Macaca fascicularis: one gene and its partner. The protein of the gene in region 1 purifies or fractionates together with the protein of each later gene. This does not show direct contact. Links are inferred from orthologs where the notes say so. Each region holds a gene or a part of one and is shown on either strand. Other genes may lie near its edges. The genes, in order: DTX3 and RNF114.

Region 1 (4,354 bases):
TTCAATCCAAATTCCTGTACAGAAATTTTTATTTTTTTATTTTATTTTTATTTTTTTAATTTTACTTCTCTGAGGAAGCCTGTGCTTAAGGGTGCAGAGACCAGCTGAAGAATTCTGGTGTTCAAGGTGTTGGGCCCCTAACTAAGGATGTGGGTTTCTAGACAGATGGCTGGGAACGTTTTTTAAAAAGCTGTGAAGGGTGTGCACCGGAATGGAAAACTTAAGTCTTCAACTTCGTGGGAGGTCAGAGGTAGTGAGGGCCAGGGAAGGGTAGGGTGATGGGACCCTTCCTCTTCCCTGAGTTCTGGGCTTGCTAACACTCCATCTTTGTAAAGGTGAGTAGGCCTCTCAGCCCACCAGCTAAAAGAAACGGAATCCAGTATTCCCCCAGGCTTCCTGGGAAAGCTGTCTTCTTCCTGGAGGGAAGGAAGAGTACAGCAGAGTCCTGGGAAAGTGAAGAAAGTGACCAGCTCTCCAGTCTAGAGGGGGAGTGAAAAAGGGGTGGATGAATAGAGGTTGTTGCCAGTTTGGGAGATTCCTGTCTTGGCTGAGGAAGTCTTTTGGCTGGTGGAAAAACCTGGCTTGATGTGGCCCTAGGGAAGTGAGTTGAATTGGGCAGAGACTGCTTGATGTGGGAAGCAGAGCAGAGCTTTTTTTTTTTTTTTCCTGAGAGTTTTTAACTCTATTTGAACCATACACACTTGACACTACCACCACCTCAAGCCATTTTTTAAAAAATGTATTCGTTTCCCATTCTGCACCAGCCTCCATATCGCTGTTTGTGGAAAGAGAAAAATCAGAGGCACTTACCAATGACCAACTGAGAGCAGGTTGTGGGGGTCACAGGAGGTAACAATCTAGAAACAGGCAGATGAGGGAGGGGATTGAAATAGTTTAGTACCCGGATTTGTTTATTTTTTAAAACCAATGCTTTTTTTTTTACTATGACTCTTCCCATCCCACATTGTTCCTCAAAGGCCCTTCTACCATAAGGATTCAAAAAATTGCCGCCCTCCCCCCCGAATCCCCATATACCCACCAACACTTCACCCACCCATCCACCACCAGCTCCCCGGAGCTGCTACGCAGCTGGCTGGGAAAGAAAAGGGAGAGTGCTCCGCCGGGAGCGGGGAGCGAGAAGGGTGGCGTCTCCAGGGATTTAACCTCCTACCCTCAGTTCCATGACGCCACCCCCTCCCTCCAAAGACTGGAACAGCGCCTCCATTTTTGTTTTGGGGAGGAAGGGCAGGGGCTTGCGGATAGAAGGGGGTCAAAGGAACGGTGATTATCACCTGTGAGGGGAAAGAGGGTGCTGTCCTCCCTCCTTCCCTTTCCCTCAGCCTGCACCCCCTGCAACCCCCAACCTTTCGGGGTCTCCCCCCCCCCTTGTTGCTAAGGCCCGGACCGTCATCCCAGCAACAGCCTCAGTCATGTGACCGGCAATGGCGGCGCTGACGAGAGGTAGGTGAGCCCGGCGCCCCCCACACCCACCGCGCGCCCCCCAGGCCCCGCTCGCACCCCTCACACGCCCCTCGCTCCCCCGGCGCCCCCTCCTCCACCTCCCCTCCCCGCGCGCGGCTCCGGGTTCCCCGCTCCGTGCCCGGCCGATCATCTTTCTAGCACCCTCCAGCCTTGGCCTCCATTCGGGGGTTCTGAGGGCTGCGATCGGGGCCGACATGCATCCCCGCCCGGCAATGGGGATCCGGGGGCTTTGGCGAGTGAGGGATGTGGGGAGTTGGTTCCGGGTCGGGTCTTGGAGGAGGCCGTGGGGGTAGGGCGGGAGCTGCCTCAGTGGATGCCCCCAGGGACCCTTGCCCTTCCGGGCTGTCCCTCCCTCTGGCCTCTATCTAGAGGGAGAGACTGTCCCTTGTCCGGCCTGGGTTCCCACAGAGGAATCACAGACCCACCCTAAACTGTGGCCCCGCCTCCCTTTTCTGTGCCAGCAGGACTTGGAGCTAGGACACCTAGGTCCTGGGTCCCCTGTGATGGGGAGGGGGGTGTTGCAGCGCAGATACACTGTATGGGCTGAGACTCTAGGGTTCCATTTTCACTTTATGAATCTCGAGGTGCATCTGGCCTTGGGGGACGATGATGGAGGCATGAAGGGACAGCTGCACCTTTTTGGATCAGTCATTGAATGGAGGTCACACTAATGGCCCTTCTTTCTGTTTGAGCTGCATTTGGAAGTGTTGTGGGTACAGCCTGGTAGCCCAATGCGACCAGGCTCAGGGGAAACATCAGGCCCCTCCAGCTGAGCCCTTGTGTGAGCCCCGCCCCTCCCTAAATGCCAGACTTGGGAGCTGACAGACAGCCCTGCCTGTGCTGGGTTTAAAAGGTGACAATGAGAACTTTGTTATTGCAGGGGCTGCTGCCACTTTGTTCACATCCTTAACAGACTTCAGCAGAAGGGACTGAGTTAGCTCTCAAGGAAGGCTCCCTGGCAATAGGGGCTGAATTATTTGGGAACGTGGAGCAGGGGAGGAGTTGGAGAGCATAGGAAATATTCCGGTCCATGTGATCTGAGGGAGGTGGCAAGAAGACCTCCACCTGTGTGGGCGTTTTCTTTCCTGACATCTTTTATGTGTGCCCTAGGCTTTCTTGGGGGCCTCAGAGCTGGGGAAGAAAGGAGGAAGGTTAGCATGTTCCTTCTTGAGCAACTTGGGGAGAAGCTGATGATGGAATTCTGCAGAGGAGAGAGGAGATGGAAGTGGAGTTTTTATTTCTGGGTTGGCTGAGGGAAATGGTAACATTTGCCATCATAACTTTTTACCCTTCCCCTATTCCCAGTCCTGGTCAGCTGAGTGGAAATAGAAGGATTTCTGCTGCCATCATCTTCCATGGGCTTCCCAGGTATCTCTCCCACAAGGGATCCTCAATTTTCACCCTTAAGCTGGTTTCCTTCATTCCATGTTACCATTCTCAGTAACCTATACCCAGGTTTCTGTCTCTGTTCCATGGGCTGCTGGGTTGGGGGCCATGGGAATTGGGAGAAGGGGTTTCTCACTTTCCTTCCTTTTTTTCCGCCCTACCAGCTCACATGACCTACAAGTAGGGAGCAGGGAAAAAAGAGTGAGCCTGCATGCCAATTCTAAGCTCTTCAGGATCAAAGTAAGCAAAAAGGAGGGGCAAAAAGTCTCCCTCCCCTTTAAAGAGCCCATTTTCCCCCCAGAAGTGGGAGGGGCAAATTGTTTCTATGATCTGGGAGAAATGACAGGAGAAACAAGACTGATACTTGGCTTAGATGATAATACAGCTCTGGAAACTTTTTTGCTCTTCAGTGGGCACTGGGTTTGGAAGATAAGGGGAGAGAGAATATGAATTTGGGGGAAGGGTTGGGGATTAGGCTTTGAGAAAACAGAGGTAATAGAGGGTTTGGAAGGAACCTGAAGTAGGAGGCACTGATACTTGTCAAATGGGGACCCCCCACCCTGAGTCCCTTTCACCCTGGGGGCAGTGTCGTTCGTCCTGTCCAGAATGGCAGCCTGTGGAGGCACCTGCAAGAACAAAGTGACTGTCTCCAAGCCTGTGTGGGACTTCCTGAGCAAAGAGACCCCAGCCCGGCTGGCCCGGCTTCGGGAGGAGCATCGTGTGTCCATCCTAATAGATGGCGAGACTTCTGACATCTATGTTCTCCAGCTTTCCCCACAGGGCCCTCCCCCGGCCCCTCCCAATGGGCTCTACCTAGCCCGGAAGGCTCTTAAGGGGCTGCTAAAAGAGGCAGAGAAAGAGCTGAAGAAAGCTCAGAGGCAGGGGGAGCTGATGGGCTGCCTGGCTCTGGGGGGTGGAGGGGAGCACCCTGAGATGCACCGCGCAGGCCCACCCCCTCTCCGAGCAGCCCCACTTCTGCCCCCAGGGGCTCGGGGGCTCCCCCCTCCTCCTCCCCCCCTGCCCCCACCTCTTCCTCCTCGCCTTCGGGAGGAGGCAGAAGAGCAGGAGAGCACCTGCCCCATCTGTCTGGGGGAGATCCAGAATGCCAAGACATTGGAGAAGTGCCGGCATTCATTCTGCGAGGGCTGCATCACCCGGGCTCTGCAGGTGAAAAAGGCCTGCCCCATGTGCGGCCGCTTCTATGGGCAGCTGGTGGGCAACCAGCCCCAGAATGGGCGGATGCTGGTCTCTAAGGACGCCACCCTCCTACTACCCAGCTATGAGAAGTATGGCACCATTGTCATCCAGTACGTCTTCCCGCCCGGTGTCCAGGGGGTAAGAAGACCATGGCCCGCCCTTACCCTTTGGCTCTCCCCAGGCTCTGACCTAGGAAAACCGGGTGAGGGTGAGTGTGCTTGTTAGATGTGAGACAGTCTTGCTGTCTTCCACTATGCCCTCTTACTCAGTGCCCTAGACCTAGGAGGTC
Region 2 (4,232 bases), on another chromosome or scaffold:
AGTTAGATGTTAATGCTGTTAGGCAAAATTCCAGACCGGGTACAGAGAAGGTAAGGGAGTCTATTCATTCACCACTAAGGGCAATGGAAACTTGACAAAGCCCTGTTCTCATGATGCTTACATTCTAGAGTGAAGGGAAACACAAATGTTAATTTCAGATAGTGATTAAATATATGAAGGAAATATGGCAAACAGACCAGCTGGAGGGATCACAGAAAGCTGCTTCTGAGGAGTTGGCATTTGAGCTGGGTGGGACCTGATTACGAGGACAGCCACACAGATCTGGGTGCAGAGCTCCACACCAAGATGATGCCACACACAAATGAGGACTGGAAAGGCAGGCAGGCAGACCTTGGGGGCCACAATGCGGTAGACCATGGTGAGAAGGGCAAGCGATAAGGCAGTAGACACAGGCAGGGCCTGTGGCCATCACTTCTGTTGCCTGTTCACAAATGCAGATGACAACAGGAACCCAAGAGAGCACAGAGGGTCCAGTGAGTATAATGCAACCAAACCCAGCATGCAGATAAAAGCAGCTCGAAGTCTCTTTGCAAGCACACACACAGGTTCAGCTCATCTATCAAATGTTCATGAGTCACTTTGTGCCTGAGACATACCCAAACTACCAGACTGCTTTGGAACTGCTCAAATATCCTGGGCTGGCTTTTCAGTTTCTATTTCCTATTTATGGGCCCTTTCCTAGTTCAGCCTTCTGACGCTCCACTCTGTCACAGTGCTAGGAAGAAATTCTCCTCTCTTGGGCACCCAGCCAGCTGCCTTTCTCCAGCTGTATTCTACTGGATTGGAGAACGCAGTCATTCAGGGCTTGAAATAAAGTTTTATAAAAATCCAGTGCCCCAGCCAGAGTTGTAGTGATGCTCAACTTTCCAAGCACAAAAGGTAAAAAATCAAGTAGGCACAGGAGAAAGCATTCGGTTGGAGCTAAGGGGGACTCAGGCTGCCCTCACAGAGGTGCTTCCATCTGTCTTCAATTTGCACTGAACTGCTGAGCACGTGGGGCTAGGACAGCGAGGACAGGATAGAGAAGAGCCAAGGTTTGAATACCAGTAGTTCCTTGCCCTCTGACCTAGGAAAGGTTCACCCAGCTCAAGAAAATCTCAAATTTTGCTGCTCTTCATTTAGCAAACTGTGCTGGGTCTAGCCTTTTTACAAATGTTAATAGTAAATGAAATCCACTGAATTAATCCAAAATCAGGTAAACCTGATCCAAGGATAAGCGGATTCAATGAAAAAGCTAAAGACCACTTCAACTCTCATGAAGCTTGCTTACACGACTTATTAGTTCATTCAACCATTACCTGATCATTCACCCCACGCACAGAGGTGTGATCCCTGAAATACCCTCCCACTTGCAGAATGAATTTCTACAATAGTTTGACGAGTCATTGGTACTGATTTGTAAACTCTGAAGGCAGAGTCTACCCCAAGATCTGGCACATAGAGGCCATTCCAGTCAGTTGAGGGGCAAAAAAGATATGGCCACTCCATCATGAGCTGTAAGTTTTGCTCTGTGCAAGCAAGGAGAAGGAAGTTAAGTCCCAGAAAGGAAGTGGGGGAAGTAATTTAGATGGGGATGGGTGTTTGGTGAGGTAACCTAACCAGGGACTTGAAGCCCGAAGCGGGGGGGGGGGGGGGGGGGGGGGGGGTTGGGGAGGAGTTCCAGGCTAACTGAATTGCAAAGAGGAATAGCCTAAAGCTACATGATGAGGCAAAAAGCAGCCAGTTAGGTGCCAAGCACTGTTCTCTAGACTATTAAAACGGTCACCTGCAGTATATCTGGGAAGAGTTAGGCCACGGCGACCCTTCGACAGGCAAGCGTCGGACCCTCGGTGTATTCACCTGTAAAATGGCTGCCAACCCTCCCCCGCTGCAGGGTGGCTATAGAATAATGCCCATGGAGTGCAATGGCTACTGTGCCTGCTGACTAGTGAAGGGGTGCCAAGACCAATGCCAAGGTGATCCCACGGTAAGCACTGAGAGAGACGAGAGGAAAAGCCAATTCTGAGGCAAGAAGCAGGTGGCCACGTTGTCTACAATTCTTTCAACTCAGGTGTGTCTGTGCGTCTGATGGAACAAGGCTTAGATTCAAATCGACCAACCTCGAAAGCCCCGGCCACAGCCCAGGACTGGACATCTTTACACATATCTGCTTTAATCATTATAACCAGTCTATTCACAGTATTCAGGTCATGAAGGCTTAATTGAAAACTGAAAGAAACAAACCTCCTACACAGGAAGTAGAATGCTAACAATCCCATCTGCCAACTCCCACCCCCTTTCACAGCTAAGGGCAAACTGGCCAGATCCCCATAAAGACTTCCCTTTTGTTGTTTTAGTCTAGTCCAGCGTTTCTCCCAACTTTGGTTCGTATTAGAATAACTCGCCACAGCTAGACTCAATGCCAAATGTCCTATGCTTTAAGAGCGACGCGGTCTAGAAAGGAAACGTCGGCTCTCCAAGGGCGGACTTCCGAGCCTAAAGTCCCTGCAGGGCACGAGTCCACTATCACGTGTGGGAAGGAGACTGACAGGCCGACTGGAACATTGCAGGCGCTCAACGGACAGCAGCTGCCCCGCTAAGACGGGCGGAGGGACGGGATACTTAGAAGTAAGCGGGGCGGGACAGAAGAGCGCCCCGGCAGCTTTCACGGCCCTTAGGAGCCCCGGGGGACACCCCCGGGAGGCCCCTCTGGGTGGGTCCTCTGGCTCCCGCCCTGAGACGCATCTCGCTCCTCGGCTCCATTTCCTTCCCAGTCAGTTAAGTGCCTCCCGACCAGGCCCGGGCTCGCCGCTTACACGTGTCCGCAGGGCACCTGTACCGGCTTCTCGTACACCTCTAAGCACACGGGACACGTGAAGCGGCCTAGGGGATCAGCCTCCGCCGCCGGCCCCGCCAGCTGCGCAGCTCCCCCGCCGTCTTGCTGTTGCGCCGCCATCTTGCTGCCGCTCTGCGCCGCGCAACGGCGGCCGATGAGGAGTAGGCCAAGGGGGCGGGGCTCGCGGCCGGAGGGGGTGGGGCTCGTGGGGCGGTGAGCGGTTGGGGGCGGGGCTCGTGGGTGGGCGGCCCCTCGCGGCCCCTGGGGCCCCTCTGACCCAAGCGAGCTGGAGGCCGAGGGAAATCTGGAAAACGTGGAAGCCAAATCCAAAGGCTGCCAGAATTGGGACGGGCTCTGCGCGTGGGCCGCTGTTTTCCAAATTTAAGTCGTTAGTTCGGCACCACTTGCACTTATCACTATTTATCTTCGAATCAAATTGCTTTTTCCTTAAATTTATTTATTTATTTATTTAATCTATTTTGGGAAAAGGTCTTGTTTTGTCGCCCAGGCTGGTGTTCAGTGGAGCGATCATGGCTCCCTGCGGCCTCGACCTCCGGGGTTCAAGCGATCCTCCCACCTCAGCCTCCTGCGTAGCTGGACCACAGGCAGTCACCACTATGCCGGACTAATTTATTTATTTTTGTTTTTTTTTTTGTAGAGATGGGGAAAGGAGGTGGGGAAGGGGCGATGCCGAGAGCGGGCGGGTCTCACTGTTGCCGAGGCTGGCCTCGAACTCTTGGACGCAAGCGATCCGCCTGCCTCAGCAACCCGAAGTGCTGGGATTACAGCGGTGAACCACCGTACCCAGCCATTTCTTAAATTTAAGCAAATTTAATAACATCTAATTCCTGAGCTGCAAGAAGAAAGTCAATATCATTTATTTATACAAAGGAGCTGGGTACGGTGGCTTACGTCTGTAATCCCAGCACTTTGTGAGGCCGAGGCGGGCGGATCGCTTGAGCCTAGGAATACGAGAGCAGCCTGACCGACAAGGTGAAACCCTGTCTTTACTAACAATACAAAAATTAGCCAGGCGTCGTTGCCCATGCCTGTAGCCTCAGCTACTCAGGAAGCTGAGGCAGGAGAAGCCTTTCACCTGGGAGGCGGAGGTTGCCGTGGGCCAAGATCGTTCACTCACTCCAACAGTCACTGAACTTCAGCCTAGGCAACAAGAACAAAACTCCATCTGAAAAAAAAAACAACAACAATAAAGCACATTCCTTTCAAATTGTGCAATAATCACCATCAGCTATCTCTAGAATTCTGGTCGTCTTGCTAAACTGAAACTGAAACTCTGTCCCCATTAAACAATAACTTCCTGTTCCCTCCTCCCATCCCCATACCCCCAAGACCCTGGCAATTTTGTCTATGCTTTTGAAGCACTTATAGCTATAAA

The links.
Region 2: the proteins of DTX3 (region 1) and RNF114 purify together in Homo sapiens (affinity purification with mass spectrometry; 3 studies listed by BioGRID and IntAct, counting the BioPlex papers as one, with this or other methods). This does not show direct contact. The link is inferred for Macaca fascicularis from reciprocal best matches to the Homo sapiens genes DTX3 and RNF114.

The regions. Positions count from the first base shown.
Region 1 is NC_088385.1:64,415,323-64,419,676, forward strand, and holds the start of DTX3 (probable E3 ubiquitin-protein ligase DTX3), read left to right. Parts: upstream 1-1,426; 5' UTR 1,427-1,461; exon of another isoform or gene 1,462-2,335; intron 2,336-2,592; 5' UTR 2,593-2,633; intron 2,634-2,787; 5' UTR 2,788-2,850; intron 2,851-3,032; 5' UTR 3,033-3,079; coding exon 3,080-3,108; intron 3,109-3,454; coding exon of another isoform or gene 3,455-3,473; coding exon 3,474-4,203; intron 4,204-4,354. UniProt on the Homo sapiens protein: Regulator of Notch signaling, a signaling pathway involved in cell-cell communications that regulates a broad spectrum of cell-fate determinations.
Region 2 is NC_088384.1:106,019,580-106,023,811, reverse strand, and holds the start of RNF114 (E3 ubiquitin-protein ligase RNF114), read right to left. Parts: upstream 2,971-4,232; 5' UTR 2,957-2,970; coding exon 2,817-2,956; intron 1-2,816. UniProt on the Homo sapiens protein: E3 ubiquitin-protein ligase that promotes the ubiquitination of various substrates. In turn, participates in the regulation of many biological processes including cell cycle, apoptosis, osteoclastogenesis as well as innate or adaptive immunity.